3 linked regions of the Lepisosteus oculatus genome follow. The protein of the gene in region 2 interacts with the protein of the main gene of each other region in a biochemical or structural test. Links are inferred from orthologs where the notes say so. Each region holds a gene or a part of one and is shown on either strand. Other genes may lie near its edges.

What was found. The genes of interacting proteins can lie anywhere in the genome.
Region 1: of the proteins of lck (region 2) and ptpn22, one has a biochemical effect on the other in vitro, tested with the Homo sapiens proteins (3 studies listed by IntAct, with this or other methods). The link is inferred for Lepisosteus oculatus from reciprocal best matches to the Homo sapiens genes LCK and PTPN22.
Region 3: of the proteins of lck (region 2) and ptprc, one has a biochemical effect on the other in vitro, tested with the Homo sapiens proteins (5 studies listed by BioGRID and IntAct, with this or other methods). The link is inferred for Lepisosteus oculatus from reciprocal best matches to the Homo sapiens genes LCK and PTPRC.

The regions. Positions count from the first base shown.
Region 1 is NC_090700.1:35,040,328-35,048,065, reverse strand, and holds the start of ptpn22 (tyrosine-protein phosphatase non-receptor type 22), read left to right. Parts: upstream 1-4,718; 5' UTR 4,719-4,843; coding exon 4,844-4,933; intron 4,934-7,738. UniProt on the Homo sapiens protein: Acts as a negative regulator of T-cell receptor (TCR) signaling by direct dephosphorylation of the Src family kinases LCK and FYN, ITAMs of the TCRz/CD3 complex, as well as ZAP70, VAV, VCP and other key signaling molecules.
Region 2 is NC_090706.1:3,393,833-3,401,661, reverse strand, and holds the start of lck (tyrosine-protein kinase Lck), read right to left. Parts: upstream 3,021-7,829; 5' UTR 2,551-3,020; intron 1-2,550. UniProt on the Homo sapiens protein: Non-receptor tyrosine-protein kinase that plays an essential role in the selection and maturation of developing T-cells in the thymus and in the function of mature T-cells. Plays a key role in T-cell antigen receptor (TCR)-linked signal transduction pathways.
Region 3 is NC_090704.1:11,608,616-11,616,044, reverse strand, and holds the start of ptprc (receptor-type tyrosine-protein phosphatase C), read left to right. Parts: upstream 1-4,409; 5' UTR 4,410-4,518; intron 4,519-4,609; 5' UTR 4,610-4,649; coding exon 4,650-4,719; intron 4,720-7,429. UniProt on the Homo sapiens protein: Protein tyrosine-protein phosphatase required for T-cell activation through the antigen receptor. Acts as a positive regulator of T-cell coactivation upon binding to DPP4.

The DNA.
Region 1 (7,738 bases), on a different chromosome or scaffold from region 2:
ATTCACTGTGGTTTTTTCTGGTCACCTTTATTACGAGCCATTTCTTTGAAATGGATGTTTTTGCAGAAATCGTATAGATGAGGTAATTTTCAAAAATTCCTCTGGTAAATTTGGCCTTTGTTTTTCAAATCACCCCTATACAGTAGCTATTGATTATAGCTTACCAATTAACACCTTCAAACAGTTTAAGAGTAATAAACCCTTTTCATCACCCAGAGGTCAGAAGAAACATGGGGTTTTTCATCTCATCTTCAACTGTCTTTTTCAGAAAAAAAAGTTCAAGTTCAAGTTACAGTGGAATTAAATATTGGTCCTTCTGGCCCATGATGCAATTACAAACAAGACACTGACATTGTAGACAGGATACACATAGTGCAATTACTACTAAAAATAATAATACTAATATTGATAAATAGGATGGTTCAAACTAAGACAGTGTACACCAGAACAGAGGCAGTGTACACAGGAGATACTCATTTACTCATTTACTCAACTATTACAGAATAGTATAAAAAATACATCTTACAGTGAATGGAAAAAAAAGGTTCATTGCACATTTTGCAGATATGCAGGTTCACATGATAAGAAAGCTGTCCATGCCTGGCACTGAAGCAAAATGCAGCTGCAATCTTTCTGGTGTCTAGCCTTGCTCCACTGGTTGAGGTAACATACAATAAAAACTCTTCATTCTTACTATGACGCTGAACCTCAGAAATGCCATCCCTCTTTGTAGAATTACAGGAATAAAATATTTGATTTGATCAGTAAGTTTAATTTAAAGGCCAGTTTAACCAGATGTCTGGGCAGGTCCAACACATTGCATGTCAGTGTGTAGCAAATACAGTACCTCTATGGAAACAAAATACATTACATTCATGTAATGACACGGAATCCCATAAATACCAAAGAATAAGGTATTTGTGAATTTCGTAATATGGGCCCCATAAACAAAAAACATTATAGAAAGACTTTATTAAAGGAGCACTTCATGATGTCACTATTCGATTTGCTACCCACAACCTAGAAAGCAGTGTGCATCTGCAGTGATTTCGTTTTTTTACTGTATGAAACCTTTCAGTGTCTTTTGCCGGATTTCTCAGAGCTGCCACTAGAGGGCAGATTCCATTTGAATATAAAAGGCAACTTTATCAGAACTCAGAGCTGCAATTTCATATTGCGCTTAACAGCAAATACTGACACAAAACTTTCATGCAGCGGAGAAATACATGTTAAGTAATAATTTATTGATCACCACCGATTGTTGTTTTTTTTTGCAGTTGAAGGGCACACTGGCGCTAAGTATAAGTACAGAGAAGTTTGTGATTATATCATTCTGGCTATCATCTGCCAAGGGAAGGTGAATCAGGAAAGAGATCCAGCATTTCACTAACATCCACAGAATGTGTGGCTCACTTGTTGGAGATCAACCCAGTGAGATCTGAGAACATAGGAGGTCCTGATGAAGAGAAGGTAAGATGATAATGTTGGCTGGACGTTTCAATCAAAACTCTATTGTGCAACTGATTTTTATACAGAGATAAGCTTGTAGCCCTTCCAGCCCTTCATAAGAAGGCCTTTAGGCAGATGCACAACAACGAGGAGTGGAGCTCATATCATTGGTCCTCCTCCTCACCTGCAGGATTTGGAATGAGGAAAAAAATCTGAGATGATTTCTGGGATGCCATGAGCGTGTGGATATTACAGAGGTTTCTCTGTCTATCACAGGGCGATCATCAGCTACACCCTTCAGAATTGTCAGTGTGTGCTAAGGCCAGAACTGACACAATGTTCACTGTTCACCAGTGGCAGGAAAAGACAGAAAACTTTCTACTACTGTATATGGCTTTTTTTGACTTTACAAAATGAAAACCACTAATTGTATCAATGAAGAAGCCATATAGAGAATCCATGTGAAGTACTGATGCCTTCCAAATTTTGTCTTTGCCTGATAATAAAAATGATAATATTTGAGCACTGAATGACAGTATCTATCATGACCCCCCGTTGAAGTTTAGGCAAGAATCAAGCAAAGCATGATATCATATCTGGTCACCACAGTCTCCTAGTTGTTGTTGCTTGTTCTAAATTTTCTGATGGAAGAGTATTTAACTCTTTAAAACACAGCATGTAAGGTGTTCCATAGACCCATGACACAAAGTGTTTTAAGCTACCATTGAGACATGAACAGACCTCTTTTAACATCCACTAAAGCCCTCATCTATGATACGGATCCATCTGACTTTCTTCTCTATGCACCACTGAACCATGGCCTCCATGGTCAAAGATCTAAGAGTGATCATGAGGTCCAACAGCTTATTGTGGTTTAGACAGGAGATAAAAGGCTTCCAACAGTGCCATGAAACCAGAATCATTCAAATGTATGTATTAAAGATATAGTGAACAGTGATCAGTCCAATGATAAGTGATACCTGGTCTCTTCTTTCATTTCTGAATGAGCTCTCATTTTTTAAATGCTGACATATTTGACATTTTGTGAGATATTTGAAGTTTTTCGGGATGGTGACAGACAGTAACATCTTTATGCTCCAGTCATGCTTCTGTTTTGCTCTTAAGGTATTCAATGCATTGTTTAACCGCTTTAAAATATGCAGTTTCACGTAAGTGACTGGGCGTTTCTGACATGGGAAAAAATGTTCACAGAACCAGCATTACAGTCAAACTGTAATTAGATCAAATGCTGCTAGCTGTAATGGCATCAAAGCTGCATGTACTTTCCAGAAGCCTGCTCATTAATCAACTGACTAGAAGTGCTCATGACTTAATTAAAATAATATCAGTATCGTTTTATTGAAAGCAATAATGCAGATTAATGTGGAATTAAAGGTGGACTTGTTGCACAAACAAGCAGCAAGTGCCTGTTGGGACTCCTTTTGAAAAAAGTTAACCAGATTTTTTCAAATTTACCATTTTTTATACTTTGTGCCTTATAGCTCAATCTCTACAGTGGCTGTTGTAAGACAGCTAAAATATGCCCATTTCCATATGGTCCAAAACAGCAGCTACAGCAGGACTGATCCAGCTACAGGAAATGTTTGGTTGAGGTCATACTGTACTTACATTCACATACTTTTTACTTTTTTCAGCATAGACACTAAATGTTTAAACAATGTGCTCAATGTAGTCATGAAAAAGTCACAATTGTTTATGTGTTATTTGTTTAATCAGATTGTATTTAATTATTATTATGACTTATCTGAAGAACAGATTGCACTTTAGGAGCACGTAATTAATACAGGAATACAGATGATTCCGAAGGGTACACAAACATTTTTCTCACAACTGTAAGGTTGGTTTTTATTCATGTAATAAATGAAAATTGGATTTACTCATCTGAAGTACTACAGGAGAAGTGCCAGAAGCTAGATTTTTGAACAGACAATTTGTCTTCATTCTTAGTTCCCTATAATAGACTGGCAGGCTGAAATTACACTTCCTTAACCTCAGGATAGAAGTGATGCACACAGAGGTCTTTTAGAAATGTGATAGGGAAGGAAATAGAGGCAGAAGATATTTCTCCTTTTGCTTCACTATGTTCTACTTGATAAGATCCTTTTTGAAACGCATGGACTGTGCTCTCACTGACCACATTATCACAGCAACCATGAAAATATATCAGTGGTAGAACTGAAATATACAAATGCATACAATGTACAATTTTCCATCTCTTGTGAAATGTTAATTTTTAGAAGGCTAATATGTTTCACTTTCAGAAGCATACAATACACCAGTAGACATTATTTAAAAAATGTATGCATTATGACAAGCCAACCTACAGCCCCATATAGCACACAAGCAGCCTTCTGTTGAGAATCTTTGGAAATTTTCAGACAAGAAAAGCAAGTCAAACACTAAATCACAACACTGAGCTGACAGTCTGTTTGAAAAGGGAGCAAAATGAATTCACAAAGCATGTGAGTTCACTGTTGCAGCACCTGACACTGTTCTAGGCTGCAGAAGGAGCTGCACAATTCAAAGATAAGGATGCCAGTAAAGGAGAATGCATTCCTGAAACACCATGCTTACGTCAGTGTCACAATTTCCTGTTTAACATGGCAAAACCTTTTAAAAGGGGTAACAAAAGAACAGTTCTTCGAAACCTGTTGGCCAAGAGTACGTTTTATGTCATGACTGCAAATCAAGTAAACTCTATAATTGTACTTTTAAGACTTGGTTTGTCTCATCATCATCAGAAAGGGATGTCTAACTTCATACGTTGTTACTTGGCATTAAATATTTTCAAATATGTCATTTTCAGACATATCAAATCCAGACAGAGAGGTGAAAAGAGCTAGCTCAGCAGAGCACATACTGTAAAATTCACTGGAATCAATAAGACAGAAGGCACAGAGAAATGGGTCTTACCAATTTCTTTACCAATGGGAAATACCTTCTTGGGACTGATTAGCCTTTCAAACTGGATTCTGGGAGTGATGAATGCTGTCTGACTGGCTGTGCAGCCTCACCGCTTCTTGTTTTACATTTCCTAATTCCCTGTCTTGAAGCGTGATTGTGTTGTTGTCATTTCACTGCACGTCTGTAGGAGACTCTCGCAGCACAGCACACTAATTGTCCACACACATCACAGCACATGCGCACACTCAATATGGGAGAAGAGAAACGGGCTCTAGGACCCTGCATGACGGATGATATTTTTAATCTGACCACAGAACCTGTTAGCTATGCTTCCTTCAAGACAGCTCATGCAGTTCTTAACCACAGGCTCATTGGCAGTAGAGGCTGTCAGTGTGCCGGTCCCACGAGCCCCCAGTCCTGACATGTCCTACCCCAGCTGCAGGACACCCAGAGGACAAAGGGACTCAGCATGGACCAAAGGAGCATCCTGAGGAAGTTCCTGGACGAGATGCAGACCAAGGAGGCTCAGTCTGAGGAGATCTTTGCCAGCGAATATTTAGTGAGTTCATTCTTTCAAGCTGTACTTTGATACTATAATCTCCTTTAGCCCACATGAAACAAGCTCGGGCTTTGCCTCAATTAACTGAAGTTCACAGGAGTACAGAAGGAAAGTTTACAAACAAAAACTGAAAAGTTCTGAGCGCCGACTCTTTCAGTGCTGCACTAAGGAAGAAAAAAGTTTAAATCCCTTATGAACAATTCAATTCCTCTATCTTCTCATATTCTTTTTATTAGTATTTAAAGTTTTATAGTAAGTACTGTAAGATGTGGTAATGATGGTCGTCAACAATAGCTGTCGGCTTAGATATATAGAGTGTAAATGTATAGCAGCAACAATGTGTTCATTATGATATACACATGATGTGCATGTAATGTACCGAATGCACTGGTCTGTTAAATTTCTTCTACTTATGCACTATATATTGATAGTATATCTATATGTATAGTTTATAAACTATATTATGACTACATTTTTAGCACCTCTCTCAGTATAGGCCTGTAAAATAGAGTAGCTGATTTAAAACACTACAGTGCGTCTGTTTAAAAGGCTGGAAGGAAGTGATCGATGTGACGGAGTTAGTATCGCTGTCTGTAAGGCCAGGACAGAAAAGGCATTTAGTAATGCACTTATAATCACCTCTAACTCAGCACGAGCATGTAAGAGTGATATCTCATGTTAAAGAATTTTCTCAATTATTAGAGTGTTAAATATTTCCACAGCTTGTTCCTGTATGAGAATAACTGATACTATGCCATGTTGTGGTTTTACCCCTTATGTGGTGTTTGTAGAGTTCCTTGAAAATGTTCCGGTCTGACCATCATAACATGTCAGAAACAAAATGAAACAGGAACTCAAAAACAAAAGACAAATCTGCATTTTTGTTTTCTGCAAGTTTTGGTCACATTCATCTGTTAAAATCAAACTGACAATCCATAGGAGAGTTTAAAATGCAGTCAGGGTGTCTGAGCACATTGTTCCAGAGGTCCCGTTTGGGCCAGAATGTAGCACTGTGTCTGCCTCCTCTCCCTGCTGGGGCACTTCTCTCTGTAAATACTGCATGGGTGATGTGAAAGAGTACTGTATTTTTTCTCACCTACATAAATTTGCAAATCTACCTTTTGTAAGACAAAGGACCAAATTCCTTGTGCTGGTGGACACGACCTATAAACTTTGAACTTGAAGAAGACACCATTTCTGTATGTCTGTTTGTGTTTGATAGGGTGGGTGTTTTCCTAATTTACCAGCAGCATGAAAACACTGGAGAAACACTAAAAGTTTCTCATTGATTTTTAGACTTACTCTGAGCTCTGTTATTACTTACTCTGTTATGGAACAGTGTAGGCCGCTCACAGTTATGGTCTCATCACAGCTCTTGTTTAAGTGCTGCATGTTTAAAGGCAGTACTGCTTCTGAATCGTCCATTACCTAAAGTAAACTAGACACTTCTAATATTAACTTTCTTAAGCAGAAAGATCTTTATACTGTATTTATTTTTATTTTTATTTTTATTCTGTACTCTGTATTTTAACATGTTTTTCTAAAGTGTGAACTTCTCTAAATGTGACACTTCTGTTATTAAGAGCCTTGCCTGTTCCCACGAAGCCATTAAAGCTAAAGCACATACTGTAAAAATGTAAGAAAGGTTATGAGGTTGGTATTTAGAGGCTAATTGATCAGGGGATCATATCAACCCTTTTCTGGAATAAAAGCAGGGTATTGGCTTCAACAACAGACCTGAGTTGCCATAGTTTGCACTTGTATTGGTTGGTTCAGATTTCAGTGGTGAAGTCCACTGAGTTGACTGCTACAGTTGCTTTAATTGATTTTGACTATTTAAAAATCAGGTTCCTCATAGTCTTCTCTGTTCAAGACTAAAAAGATTCAGTTCCTTCAGCCTGTCAATGTACTCTCCTTTGAGACCAGGAATATATCTTGTCGCTCTACCCTAGAGCAGCATTTATAGCATGATTAAAAAATTGTACACAAAATTCTACAGAGATATTACTAGTGCAATTGTGTGCAATTTCAATACAACATCCCATTGATTTGAATTTTACACTTATAACTAAATGTTGTAACACTCTGTTTGCCTATTCTCATTGATAACACTTGACTGAACAGTTTTAGTCAGGCCTCGTGGCAGGAATAACACACTAAGGAAATGTTTACTACCCCTAGGACACCCATGAAAAACGGTGGTGCGAGGGGGGCAGTAATGTAAATGGACTAAATAATCACTTTTCCTATTTATGATTTCATTATCTCTGCATTTTACCAGTACCTCTCCATTCCCATTGCACTCATTTTACTGACACTTTTTATTCCTGCTGTGCCTGAGTAAGCACGCAACTCGTTAAACAACCCTTCATCTCTTCTCATTATGATGAATTAATGAGTAAAGGTCTACTTTCAAGAAACCTCTGAGGCTGCAGATGAGCCAAATTGCTTTGAATGGTAAAAATAAACTGCTGGTTATTGCTCTACGTTACAACCCATTTAACCTTCTCGTCCTCTGTTACAGACTTAATGCTAAAATATCAACTTTAAACAGTGCTGTTCTGGTGCTGATGGTTCTTTTGCAGCAGGGTTCTGTGGTCTTATGATATTATCAATGATATTCACTAAAAGAACCAAAATGGCGAACATGTGTTTTTATCACATACTGTACATACCTGAAACAGTTTTGGTTTGAATGGTGATAGGCTGTGGATTGCTGTGACACGGAACAGACCTGTATTGCACACTGTTACTGCGAGGAAGGATTTTGTTTTGGGGGATCTTTGTTTCTAGTACAACCAGTAT
Region 2 (7,829 bases):
GGCTGTTCACGTTATGAATCACCTGTCTCTTTTCGCTCTTGTTCCGAGTTCCTGGTGAAAAGCAGCACTGATGGGGAGATAAATTACAGCCTTACAGATTCCTAAGCACATGACCTGGGGGAACTGCTTATGAAGCTAATTTATTTTTAATAAGTGGCTAACAACCCCGTTATTATAGTGTAATAGCATTGTGAAAGTGTCATAACAGGTGAAGTGGTATTATTGGTAATAATCAGGCAGCTTAAATAGTGTAAGAATCATTCCAGTGCAGGTCCTGGACATTATTATTATTATTATTATTATTATTATTATCATAATTATTATTATTATTATTATTTGGTATTACTCTTACCACCTTCAACCAGCCTGGTGCTACTCAAGACTTCATGTCATGAACAGGGACATTAAGCAGGCCCAAACCTTTTTAAACTTCCCTGCCCTTGCAGCTGCACTTCCATTTTGTACCAGTTCTCTGCACAACATTCTGTGGTAGGAAATATAATCATGGTCACACTTAAAAAAATCTGTTTTTGGTATGGTGATACAAAACAGATCACACTCTGGTGTGAAGTGTCCAGTCCGTCCACCAAGCATACGAGGCCGTGTTTTAACCCCTAAAACTACAAGCTACAGAAATACAATTTTCATGTAATAGATACAACAAGTAATAGGTTTATTCTATGCTGAACTACATAGATACAACAATACCAACTAGCCAGCTTGGGCCCTGACAAGAAATGAATACAAAAGATGAATGACATAGTAACATCTCTCTCAGTCACATCTACACTTATTTAACTGACCTTTGTTTCTAATCCAACCAACACATCAAACAATTAGAATGTGCATATTGAAGAGTATATCATCATGAAGTTGGAAAAATAAGTACTACGACAACGGGACAGCATGTTTCTTCACTGAGTGTCGAAGAAAACAGAGAGTCTTTAAAACTTCGTTTTTAAATTATTTTCAATGTAAATGATTTTGAATAATTAAACTGCCGCCCTCCCAGTGTAGGGGTCCATTCACTCAGAACTCATAGTTCTGCAGAGGGGACAAGTCTTTCAGAATTCAGATCATTTTAATGGATCCCTAGGTAATACAGTGCCATGCTGATCAGACAAGTATCTTTTTTTGTCCATACATAAGTCCCTCCAAGTGGAAATTTAGAACATCACAATACGCCTTTTTATTGCCCGAGACTTCGCAATAAAAGCCAGACCACAGAACCAAAACACTTACCCGTCTCTGTGTAAAGTATTCCTGCTGCCTCCTGCTCTTACTGCTAAAATCTCCACTTGCAAATGTACACATGCGTCAGAGCTCTGCTGACCTCTCAGGCACAGTATTTGGTATTAACTTGCCATAAAAAAGTTATAAATGATTTTATAAAAATTCATTTCTACGCTTAAAAGGGCAAAGGGCATTTCTACGCCCTTTGAATTATCCTTAAAGAAACCAATTAAATGTGAACCAAGCCCCTTCACAAAGCTCATCACTGTAATTCACTGGCTGACTGCTGAAGCTCGGTTTTTGCTAGTTTTTCCTGAATGACATTATACTGCTAGGAGCGTCATGTTTTTTTTTGCTTTGATGGATCAAACTTTGATTTCTCCTAGCATTTCAAAACAGAACACACAACACACAACCATAGAAGAAACTATCTGGACACAGTTGTGTTCATAGCAATAACCTGTCTTTTTTCACCTCATACCATATCACATGCATATTGTGTCTTTAAGTCCCATGAAAATGGTTTCACCTTTCTAAATTGTACACGGTCCAGCACCATGACATTTTTATGTCTCATTTTCTGGAACTTTCTCCTCTAACTTTACATTCAAACTGTTTACTGTTTGTTTGTATATTATCTTGATGCACTGTCTGCACTTTGCGTTTTTGCACTTGTTTTAACAATCGAGAGACTTTCTGTAAGTAAGAATTCCATTGTACCAGTACGCATACCAGTTACACGTGGCAATAAAGCTTGAGTTCAAGTTCAAGTAACTTTTGAGTAGAATCATTTTTCAGTTCAATTCAATTTGAGCAGAACCCATCTAGAGTGGAACCTGACTTTTACTTTTACACACCAGAGAATGCAAGTGCATGAGATAGACAAACACCTTGACATTTATTTCATTTAGGACACATGGGCTGAAAAGGGTTTTTGATTAAATTAAAAAAATAAATAAAAAGCTTTTAAAGCATAAACCAAAACTCTGAAGCAAATGAAGGAATTAAAAAAAATCAATAGTACAAAATATGGGTATCCTTACATATTCTTATAAATCACTAACATGACTTCACTACATCCAAGTACTCTGCATACATCAGACAATAGATGCGAAAACATGATGGAACATTGTCAGCCATTGTTTGAATTGTATTCTGGAAAACTGTTGTCTTTCTAAAGGATGTCGTGTGGAATAGCATCAGCTGCATTGATGGGGTCCTAGACTCCACGGTCTGTTGTCCTAAAAACTCTCAATTTTGCAGAAAACACAAATACTGTTGGCTTGAGCCCATCATTATGAGCTTGCGTGAACTTACCTGATAAGTGTGGGCCTTGTCCTGGAGAGTCTTCTACATTCTAATGTCCTGGGGACTCGCCCAAACTGCTGATGACAACAGCCTGCATGCCAAGTCTTCAGGTAAAACGTAGATAAGTGACGCAGATTCCCACTTTCTCCCTTAAAACAGAACTAGGCTGAGGATCTTGTGCTATGGAGAGTTCCGCGAGGAAAGCAAAGGTTTCTGTCCCTCCCAGAGCAGATGAACTGATGGCGCATCCACCCTTCAAACCTTGACATGTGTGAGTTCTCACACCACAACGGCTAAGAAACCAGAAAGTCAGGGCTTCCTGTCTCTGGTGGAGAGTACCTCAGCCTCTAACTGCAATACAGCCCTGAGCAGGGATATGCATTATCGCAGGTGTCCCAGCTGCTGTGCTGTGAACGTTAGCCTCATTCAGATTTGGGTTAGAATACCATGTAGTTCTTGTGTGTGTGTGTGTGTGTGTGTGTGTGTGTGTCTGTGTGTGTGTGTGTGCGCTTTGTCTTTTATCAACATAACCTGGTTTTGGTTTCCTCACGAGCCAGGGGTATTCCAAAGAGATCTTTTTCTGTTCTGTAATCCTCTCCTTTGTGACTCCCACGGTCAGCACAACTGAGTCATCTGACAGCTACACAGGATGCTCCTCGGTCCTGCCACTCGAAAGGACTGAAAAGTCATGGAGCAGAGGGATTTTTGCTTGCTAACTCATTTTTGGCTTTGGGTTGAAAAACGACATTGGTCAATCTCGGGCCATGAGGTGTTATTGTGATGAGGGAAGCCAGCCCAGAGGCCTGACAATGTTGTCTCCAAGTGTAGAAGAGAAGTCCTGAATGGAGACACATATAAGCATGAATTTGGCTCGCCCTTCTGTTCTGTTGAAATGGGCTTTTTAAAGACGCACGTCAGAATAAAAGGGTTTTACATCTGTCTTGTCTAATGATTAAACCATAAACATGGGCTTACCAACAGATCACAAATCAAGCACTCGGCATCAGCTGGTGAGTCTCCAGTGGGCGCTAGGGAGAAACTGCCACAGAACGAGACATCACCATCAGGGACTGGGTTTGCAATTTGCCCCTGGCAGGCAGGCTGAACCTCTGATTCTGATTCAGACATCTGCCACGTTGGTGCAGTCTGATTCTCCTCTGTGGAGCACTAACTATGACCTGCTTATAGCGTATAGTTGTCAGAGGCATGATCTCTTCCAAAACTGTTACGTTATATAAAAATCAAGAACAGAAAATGCTGTCCTCGTGTCTGTATGTGGTCTGTTATCTGGAAGAATGTTGTGAAAACACATTCATTTGGAGAACGAACAGTTCTCTGATGTCTTTGTGTGGGCTCAAAGCCCCACGATTGACATCACGTATCTTTCAAAGTTTACAGAAATGTATTTTAGGGGTTGCTCATCAAGAGTCAAAGATTCTTAAAGGACACTTTTTTTTATCATTCGCATCAGTGTTCCAACAGAGAGATTCAGCACTAAAACTGTTGCTGATGGATGATTTACAATCTGTCCCTGTATTTCAACACTGAGGGCGCCATTTAATTAATAATTTATCAAGTTTAATCTTTCAAAGAAATGACTTCCTGTAAAGATGGGGGATTTCAAAACATGAACAATTAAACTAAAACTACACGTGAAGTATTTCATGGAACAAGATGTCATCTTTGATTTTGATTTTGAGTACTGTGTAGGCCATAGCACTTGTGGGTTTTGTGCCTGAATCACAGAAAAGTCCCTGATCGCCTGTTCTTAAAAAAGGTTACATCTGTTTGAATGCACCATCCTTAATACTGTACGCAGAAACCCCACTGATTTTTCTCATTTGTTCACTCAATACATTGCAAACCTCCTTGTTTACACGCTGAAATTGCAAGACCCATCAAAGGGAGATGAACTGTATTTCGGATTTTTAAAACTAGTTTCTTTTTCTTTCGTACGGCCTGTGAGAAGAAAGCAAACACAAAAAAAATACAAAAATACAAACACATCTTTTAAGTGGCTTCACTGACCATAGTTTCCTGTAAATCAGTTGTCAGCAGTGGTCAGCTGCATCAAGACTGACCAGAGGCCACAGTGGGGAATGGATGCTGGAAGGGGTTGTCATGGTGACAACCCATTGTTCTGTGCATTGTCCCTTGCTAGTGTCCACACAAGGACATCACGCCCTCGGGCTATTCATTCATACGCTGAATGGGCTGGCGTTCGGCTCACCTGTGAACAGTTACCTGACCGGCAGGTGTGGGTTCCTGGCTCAGCAGGAAGTTTTGTTGGGTTTTTTTTTTTATTGGCTGGTATTTTGTGGAAAAGGTGCAGTTTATTCCCTCCTGCCCGTCCTCGCACCTCCCCAGAAAAGTTCTTAAATTCGGCACAAAAAAGTTGTTTTTTAGGTAAAGAAGCTGTATGGAAAAAGTGTGCGTTTCTGCACGTGGGTATTTATAGCCCTTAGACACGAGCCAGCCTTGTTTAGATCTCTCTGGAGACTGACTTAAAATACTGGTGATGGTGATAATGAAAAGGAAAAGAGACATTAGAACCCTTTGCTGCGCTGAACAAGTGTCCCTGCCCTCGAAAGATTATGTTATGAAACTTGAGGGGTTGAGCACCAAAACCCAGTTCTCTCCAGAAAGCACATTTTCAATGTAGGTGTAACTCAAAAGGAAATCATACAAAATGTAAAACTACATTGAAAATGACATGTATACCACAGTTCTTTCAGCAGTGTCTGATATCATTGTCTGAAAATGCGAGCTGATAGCATGCAAAACCACATCGTTTTGTTGCGGTCTGCATGCTGAGCTGCAGTACTCACTGACAGGAAATAGGAACAAGTAGTGTTTGAATTCACATACGTACACTGCTGTAAAACAAGGTGCCAGTGTTCACATGTTATATATAGAAAGAAGGCTTGTTTTTTTTTTAAAGAACAGCTTTAAAGTATCCTAAAGGAATGAAGCATTTTTGTCACAACAGAAAGGGAGAACACACTCTCTTTTGCATGGAATCAGGAATAAACAATTACCAAACTGTCCTCAGATGCGTCCTCTGGCCTCACCTGTCCAGGGTATTCTCCCCCAGTTGTCATCACAGGTTGCACGTTGCTTATGTTTTAATGTCCAGTTCTGTGGTCCTAGCATTCGTCAGTGCGTTAACTTCATGTTAGACCAGGTACAAACCAAGATTCCTTTGCCTACTATTTGTTTGACAAAAAGTCTTCATTTTAACAGCCTGGGTTTAATCAAATGTTTGACCCACCTGGCAAATACAAAAATATCATATTATCCCAGGGTATCTGACTTAGATACAAGAAGCATTTGGAATCAATGGTACAAACAGGTGGGCTGACATTCTGATCATTACTCAGGACTTTCTCTGCAATGTCATGTAAAGCAACATTTCTACAAGTCAAGGTATTGGTAATGGAAGCACAAATCCTCTTACGTTGTGTTTGTAAGGTTTCTCAGTCCTTTAACCCAATTCTACAGATTCTTTTGTGCTGACAAAAGGACAGGGCATTTTCTGAAATCTCTTCCAAACCTTTCTGTCAATAGAAAGAGGTGATGTCAGCTGCAGTACCAACATCACAGTTTCAGTTATCTGGCTTTAAAGAATTACGCACGCTGTGACATCAAGGCTTATTAGAGACTGCAGATCTAACCTACGCTTTGATGCATTTTAAAAAGAGCTTTTTTAGGTCAAACACACAACACAAGGTTTTATGGCTGAGCAGAGATATACAGTAGTATCCATTAAATACTATTCCTCTGATTAATCATCTTACTCTCAGGCCAGGGATGTAATTTGTACATGGAAGATAAAAATTGTCAGAAACACTACACAGCAACAGGGGGAGCAGATGATTTGAGTCTTAAGATCTTTGCTGCCAGAATGCAGGGTTTTTTTCAGTTCACCTGAAGTGATGACATTTGAAGAGCGGTCTTGCTCATTTGAAGTCAACACCTTTCACCTAATACACTTAGTCAGAGACTGCAACAGCATTCAAATCTAAACCTGCCCCTAGAGATAGCAATATGGGGAAACTTGTGAAAGCACATCAGATGTGGACAGTGGTTTACAGAATTACATTCATGTTACCATAACAATTCTGTCATATGTCTCTTAACAATGAATGTGATTTATCAGCCTAGAAATGCAAATTGTTGGACATGAACTCTAAAAATAAACCATGCTTGCATCACAGGTCTTTTGCATGTATTTTGCCCAGAGCTATTTATTGTATTTCTTAGCTACAAACAGCGGCATGCATTGTAGTTTAAAACATACATTTGTGTTGTTTCATCATTCTCTTAATCACAAAGCTCTTTAACATGTCTTGACGTGACAGGAAACGTGTACAGTATAATACACTTTGCTTTACAGACTTCATTTTAAACTTGTCTAAGAGTTCCTTATTTGATATAGTGTTTTTCATAAAGAGGATCATTGTGGTTTTGAAGCTGAATGATGGGCCTTCAAATAATGTGCTTATTGTTTGTGGGTATTTTCCTTTTTCCTGAAAAAAAAAATCTTTGTTTAGATGATAAATCTTGTTTATGTTTTATGAAAACTAAATTTTAACCCCCCCCCAACAGTGAAACATGTCAGGACACAAGAGGTGGCAATATAAAATGGAACAAGAAACATAAATTCGGTTTAAACAGGTAGGAAGAAGAGACAGTTGCTTCCTTGGTTTGTATTCTACTCCTCTCCATTTTCCAGTCAAGCTGCAGTTAACACTTTTATGGGGCAGTTATGAAGAACATAATGATCTCTGCACTTCAGGATAATGACTATCCAGTGGACAGAGAGCACTTCAGACCAGTGAGAAAGCCTCTGCTTGTAAGGGACAGCACACTGCATGAGCTGAATTACTGTACAGATAAAAAACTGTCACTCTTTGTTAATGCTGACTGCCGTTATTCCTACCAGCAGGAATTTGCAAAATCACTTTATTTTTCTGTAGCCGAGAAGGCCTTGATATGTTTTATGATGTGTAATGGTTCGATAACGGTGATTAAAAAGCAATATGTGGCCAGCGTATTCAGCACAAGGTCATAAATCACAGTTACTGCTGTGCAGGGCGCTGGGCAGGCCAGCTGTGCCAGCACCAAGCTCTCATCTTCCTGCTGAGTTCTCTCGGCATCAGAGTCCAGAACGACGATACGTTGTTCTGTCACTTAGGGCTTGTCTTCTTTTAAAAAAAAAAAATCAAGTTCTTTTAAAGAAGTATTGACAGAATACTTTTAAAGAAGTATTGACGCAGCAGCTTCTC
Region 3 (7,429 bases), on a different chromosome or scaffold from region 2:
CTTATGTCATGAAATGCTTATGCACAAGGTTTGCTCCCTCCATCTTGAGCATGTTAAAAAAAGAAGTTATACTGCAGTGGAATCAGGGCTTTTTACTGTTACTCAAATTCAATTTTCACTACTGAAAACTGAAAACTGACCAGTGGTAGGGAGCGTTCCAGCGAAACTGTCAAAGAAATGTTGTTTATTCTATTATATAAACCATTAATCAAAAGTTATACTCGTGAATGGGTTAATTTGTGATATAATAAAGGAATTCTTAGTGCCTATTATAGTGGTGTTAAGGAAACAACGACCACAACTTGTTCAATTAACTGATTTTTGTGTTAATCTACATTGTCTAAGCAGTGATTCAGTGAATGTCTCAGTGACTGAAAGTCCCACTAAAAACATTCACTTTTCAAGCTCTTTATGCAGGGCTGGATGCATTCCAGCGATGTTGACAGTGTTTACAAAATGATAAACATAAAGCAGGATCAAGATTAGGATGTACTAGAAATTGTACTATTATAGAAATAAAGATTGTGATGCTTTATTAAAAAAAAACACAGTACAGGATGATGGCAATCTTTGTAACACACATGATTTAAAACAAAATTGAAGTTATGTTGCGGTCGCAAACTTTTTTAACCAACTCCATCAACATAATTTCACATCATCTTTCAGAGTCAAAGGTCTAAGTTTGCTGTGCAAATTGATAACCTTAATTTCTGAATTTCAACCCCTGTCACTGATGATACACCAAACGGTGAGTCACAGAGCAGCATAACTTCCTTTTCTGAGCTTGCTAAAAATGGAGGGTGCAAACTTTGTGCATAAGCACTTAAATCCACTCCTAAGCAGCATTCATACGTTGGAGTGGTACTGCCATCTGTGAATTCCCTCAACGTAAATGCTCTCAGTTATCAATGTACCACAAAATGCGTAACTGATGTTTGAGCAGATTCACAACTTACATCCATCATGACTGTTTAATATGAAGTAATCACTTACAGTTATAAGTGGTCTAAAATTAAAATGAAATAAATTGCTTAATATATTGTACAGTAGGCAATGTTACATTATTTGTTAACTACACACAGAATAGAATAGAATCACTACAAACTGATTAGTCTTTGAGGACTAATTTTCTACTATTAATTTTATAAAGTAGTTCCTTTCATAAGAAATTTTTATTTTTTAAAAGTAAATTTCCCCAATATAATAAAACTTAATGCAAATGTAAACACTCAGATTCAGATACTATAGTCTAATACCAACCAACTAATACTGTAGTTGGACATCTAAAAATCAAGTCTGGACCAAGATTTTGTTTGAAAAGACTAAAGGGCTGTAATGCAACTAAAAATGAACTGATCATTGTATGATCTGAACAAGTTAAAAATAAGAAGAGTTTCATGGGAATGCAGGAAACAAATATAATAATCCACAGTCATTGTGCATCATACAATATACACTGCTTCACTGTTATGATTTACACCTTTCAAATCAGTCTGTTGGTCCTTTGTCAGCTCAGGTTTTTATACACAAAGGCACAGGATGTGGCTCCTTTAATCCACGCTTCAGTTATTACTCCTTGCAACATTTCTGCAATTGTCTTGCCTAGAACTGTTTTTCAATTCTCATATGATGCAATGAAAAAATGAAACAGAAAAAAATGACAGTTTTTGATTAAAATTACAATTCAAATTTTTCTCAAAATGCCTGTGAAATTGGAATTGGCTCTGGCTTATCGACAGTGCCCCCATTCACAAAGTATGGGGATGAAAAATATTTTGTTGAAATTTTTTGAAAGAAGTTAGTGTAGCTTACCACTAAAAGATAACAGCAAATCGTCTTTTTGTAATCTCAGGGAAATCTTGATATGAATCCCTTTAATCTTGGGTGCATTTGAACCCAAACCAAAACTATGCTAACCAAAACTACACCAAAACTCAACCTTCATTCTATTAAATCCCATGTTCGTTCCTCCCAATGTTTACTGCTTGTATAATGATGTTTCTTTGCATTTATACACTAAAGTGTTTTACATATAAGACAAAAGAGCAGAACTTACTGGGGTGTCATTCAGGAGTCATGTGCCAGCAGTCTTACTACATGACAGTTCAAGAAAAGTTGTGAGAAACTTCCTCACCAAAAAGAAAAAGGATTAGAACTTTAGGAAGGCCGGATTGTGCAAGCCAAGAACGGAATTTCACCATAACATCAGAGCTAAAACCCCCTTATTTTATTTTAAAAATGCACTGAGATCATTCATGACCAATTAATCAGGACCATAGTTTAATTTTTTAGGCAGAAGACAGCACATCCTATGGTATACCTGTGTCCTCAGGTTTGGAGGGTCTGGTCCAGAGAGAAGAATGGCGCCTACTGGTTCACCAACACTGCTGCCAATATCTTTTGTTCTACATCTGTTTGGACCTTATAAAATCCACACCAAATCTGAGCAATAGTTTTACTCCCTACCACATATTCAATGGCTTTACTTCTCTGTGCAGTATAGTTCTCAACAATGAAAGTGTCACATTATCCCCGTGGATGCTGCACATTGGTGGTGGTGGAGAGTTCCCATTACCTGTAAAGTGCTTTGAATGGAGTGTCCAGAAATCACCATGTACAGTAAGTGTAAGAAATTCTTCATTATTATTATTATTGTAATGACTGCTGGGTTTCAGTATGGAATGAAGCAGGCATACAGCTTTGACGTGGGTTGGCAGAACATTTATTAATGCTGCTGAAGAGGGTTACACACACAGGGAATGCAGCACAACACCTACACTATACACGAAAGGGAAAGAGCGTCTCACAGCTCCCAAACAACTATATATGGTAGTCCCGCCCCTCAGGCACTGTTCCCAGCCGCCTTGCGTGCGCATGGCTATAGGCGGCGGTGCAGCCACTACAGCGTCCCACGTGGGTGCTACACTGCCCCCACCTGAGGAATCAGGCATCCCTGACTCCAAACTGTCCCTCCAGGCTGCACATGCAAGGCAGGCTGCTCCCGGGGCTCTGCTGCTCCTCTTGCCCGGGGCTCTCGCTGAAGCTCTCTCCGTGCACTGGGCCTCTCTCTGCATGCCAAGCCTCTCACCAAGCCGCTTCTACTGTGTCTAGCTGGGCGTCTCCGCGCACCAGGCCTCTCTCCGCGCGCCGGGCCTCTCTCTGTGGGCTCCCGCTGCCTCTCGCTGGAGCTCTCCGCGCCACTCTCATTCTCATTCATTGCGCCGCTCCATTCTGTCCCGCTCCAAACACCAATGTAATGACCATGGGGTTTTGGTATGGAATGACGCAGGCATACAGCTCTGATGTGTGTTGGCAGCACATTTAGTACACACAGGGACACAGGGAATACAGTACAATACCTACACTATACACAGACACGAAAGGGAGACGTCTCACAGCCCCCGTCCAACTATATACAGTCCGGTAGTCCCGCCCCTCCGGCGTCGTTCCCAGTATGCATTGCATGCACATGGCTACAGGGGGCGGTGCAGCCGCTACAGCATCACACGTCATTATTATTATCACAAAGGACTTTGTAAGACATGTTAAAATGAATGAAAGTAGAAAAGTCCCACTGGTAGCTGGTGTGTGGTGAGTGTACTGGCATACTTTGGCTGCCACCACATCATCCAGGTGGGGCTACACAGGTGGCATTAGAGGGGAGTCCCCATTATCTGTGTAGTGCACTTTGAGTAGAGTGTACAGAACAGCACTTTGCTGTGTAAGTGTGAGAATTATTTAAAAAAAAATAGAATGAAAGGCTTGTATAGTACGTGATAGAAAATAAGAAGATTAAACAAAAAGTAATCTTAATTTAAAAACACATTGTTACAGTATAACTGCTGGTAAAAACAGCTCCAATAATTTACCATCAAGGTGGCTGTGACCAGCTCACTACATCTACTGTGGCATAGTCTGAAACTTTGTGTTGCTTTAAAATTATTCATTTAAAAGTTTAAGTTTAAACAAGGAGGAATTAAGCTGTCTTTAAAAAATGACTAGACAAAAAAGTGCTGGGTGTAAAAAAAAATCCAAATCTGCTAAACTGTTCCACTGTTTGGAAGTAACAAAAATAATAATTTATGTTAAGGCCTATTAGGAAAGCCTGAATCCCATTAATTGCACCAAATAGACACACTGAAAACCATTATTCTGGCAAAATATCAGAAATCCTTTCAAAAATGATGATACTGAATCTTCAAAGTCACAATCTGGAGTTTGTATGATTTGAAATTAAGAGTGTTGCACAATTGTTTTTCCTGAATTATTTGGTACAAGAAAACAATCAACTTCTGTCTATGGCTGTTTTCAAAGTTGAGTGGAAGAACTAAATGTGGCGCAGTAGAAATTCACTTATAACCTGACTTCCTGCAGTGAATGGACCAAGAGCATGTTAAAAATGTAGGTACGACTTTCTATCTGACATCATTCACAGTAGCATGACAAGAAGCGAGTGGTTAGGGTTTGGGTAACACACAGAGGAAACTGCACTCGGACTGATAAGCAGGCAAGAAAAACGTATGTAAAACGTTGCTCAATTATACCCATTTCAAGTAAAAAAATAAAAAAACTGTTTTTAAAAAATTATTCTTATGCTGATTCTCAATAGGACGCATGGTGTTTCGGAAGGACTTTGCTGAACTCTGGAAATGACAGGTCTTTTTGGACTGAAGCTGACACTATGTGTCGGTTTGCTGGTCTTGGGCATCGTTTGTGAAGGTATGTAGCGGATCATATTTTTTGGTAGTCCCTGGTTGTGACAGATTAAAATGTTTTTTTTGATTGGTTTATTTAAACTGCTCTGCTTAATTAACTTTCCTCATATATTAGAAAAAGGGTTATACTTTTCAATTAAGTAACAGTTTTGTGCTTCCATTAGTATGGCAGTTTCATGTTGACTACATATAACTAGTTAATATTTAAGTGAAGAAAAGAGAACCTTTTTTAACATAATTCACCAAATAGGTATTGTTTCGCTACAGTTTTTGGGTTACATTAGCTTTTCATTATTTATGTATTTTTATTGAGGTTGGTTATTTTTTGTTATTTATTCAGATTTTAAACTAAAGGCCTTCTTATGCCCACAAAACCTATCTTTTGAAATTTCCCCAAAATTTTTATTGTCATTAAAAAGATCTCAGTTAAATTAAGTTTATAGTATCTTGTAGTATTCATATTTTTGTTCCTGTAATTTTTCAGTTCTCATTGATGGTTTCATGACATCCCTCTTAAATGTGCTGAAAATATTTTATATAGTAGTGAACAGACAAAGAAAAAGATGACTTCATAAAAACAGTTAATGAATTCAATTAATCATTTGATTGCTTCCAAATCTTTTTTGCAGTGGTTAGTTTGAATTTTTATATCTCTAATAAAATATTGACAAAAATATAAACAATGCTCCTCAAACTGGAAAAAGTTGTTTTGTAGAGAAAAGAGATTTTGGCAGTGCTAAATTTACAAAATAATTTACTGTTAAAGAGATTAAGTTGAACACAGAATAAGTAGAAAGAAAATAAATCATAAGGTGACCATTTAAAAAAAACAAGCAGTAAAATGTTCATGTAAACTTTTTAAAAAAGTACACAAACTCTGTTGAAAGTACTGGACTGAATTATTTGATATAAAAATCTGCATTATTTCATCGCTCACTAATCATACATTTGCCACTCCCTTCATATTTTTTTGCAGTTCCTCTTTTAACATTGAGCATTACTTTAAAGTTAATACACTATGAGTCTTAGGAAAAAAACAAAATAAAATAGAAATACATATTATAACAAAGTAAACCAATGTAGTAAGTTTAATGGTAACATTCATACTGCCAAAATTTGTAACGTATTTGTTCCTGTTGCCAGAATACAATTTTTTAAATTAGTTTCCAGAAACAAAATCACTGTGAGACAAATATCAAAGGTGTTTTAATTCTGAAATGTATTAAATAGAAATGTACTGCATCTTCTGGATACTGTATGTTATTGAATGCAATGAATGCCAAAATTAATGATAACATTTTTCTACTGGTTTTGAAACTTAGGGTGTGTCCTTCTAGTAAACTTTTACTCAAAGGGTAATTAGTCTTCAGCATCCAAACCATTAACTACTTGTAAGACGTACTGTATCAGAGGTTATCTGCTTCAAATGTTTAGAACAAACCACTATGGAACACAAAATGCATTGTTTTTACTATATATTTAGTACTTTAAATTAATTTTGGGTGTTACTTTATGGTTTTAACATGTTGATTAAAACTAAAATAAAGTAATTTAGCGATAATTAAAAACAAATATAATAGCAGTGTAAGAAATGGTGTAGTATGTGTAATTATATATTAGTGTGTCTGATTCTTCTCTTGGTGCTCATTTTCAGATGTGTGTTCCAATTTTCTCATTCTGCCTCCTCTATTTAAAGATACATATATATACATTTCGTTTAATTTTATCGGAAGTCCAGATTTATACCACTGTAACCTTTAGTTTGTATTTTTTATGTTGAAGGTTAGTACATTTTGTTTCACTAATGGATCTCAAAAAGGTTTTTAATATTACAACCTATAAATGAGAACATACTGACTTCATGGAGGTCAATGTATTATTATTATTGCCATGCAAGTTTCAATAATTAAGACTGAAAGCATAGGTGAGACCTAAGTGAGTAATAGTCATCTGTTTCATTTATTTTCTTGAAAATCCTGAACTATCGCCCATTTGCAAATGACAAATTAAAAATATTTTGTCTTGTTTATACTCAGTGGTAAGCCGCCATCGAGAACTGAGTGTGTAAATTGCGAGTACTGGGGGTTGAAGTGCTTTGCACTTGCAAGTATCCAATATGTATGACCATATCTGTAAAAGTGATATAATTTTTTTCTTTAGAGCTTAATCTCCTTTGAGTTTGCTGTTTCATAGTGCGGTTTAAAAATTCATCATTAAATGTGTGAATGATATTATATTGGCCTACAATAGTAATAGGAACTGTTATTTTTCATATTATATGGTGAAAAGATTCTCATGACAAGGCCTTTAACAACAGAATACTCTTAGGTCCTGTAACTAACTAGTAAGAAAATGATTCATGTTTAGACACAAACAGATTGACATTAATAATTGATTTGTAGAATAATGGCTGAACTTCAATTTACTAATCAGTTAATGTGTAACTTTTATCTTTTTTATCTTTGTTATTTTGAATATTTGTTATATTGAATATGTGTTATTCTTTGGGCTTTTACTTTGGGATTTTATTGTTTACAGAATTATAGTATTAATCTGAAAGTGATCTCATGCAAAGATAAATTAAAAACACCAAAAATACAAATTAGTCAATGCGCAAGATACAGCTTCTAAAACCTAGCAGACTAGCAAGAAAGGTGTTGGTGCAGGTACTATTTCTAAAAATACAGCAGCAACGATACATATCCTTACACATA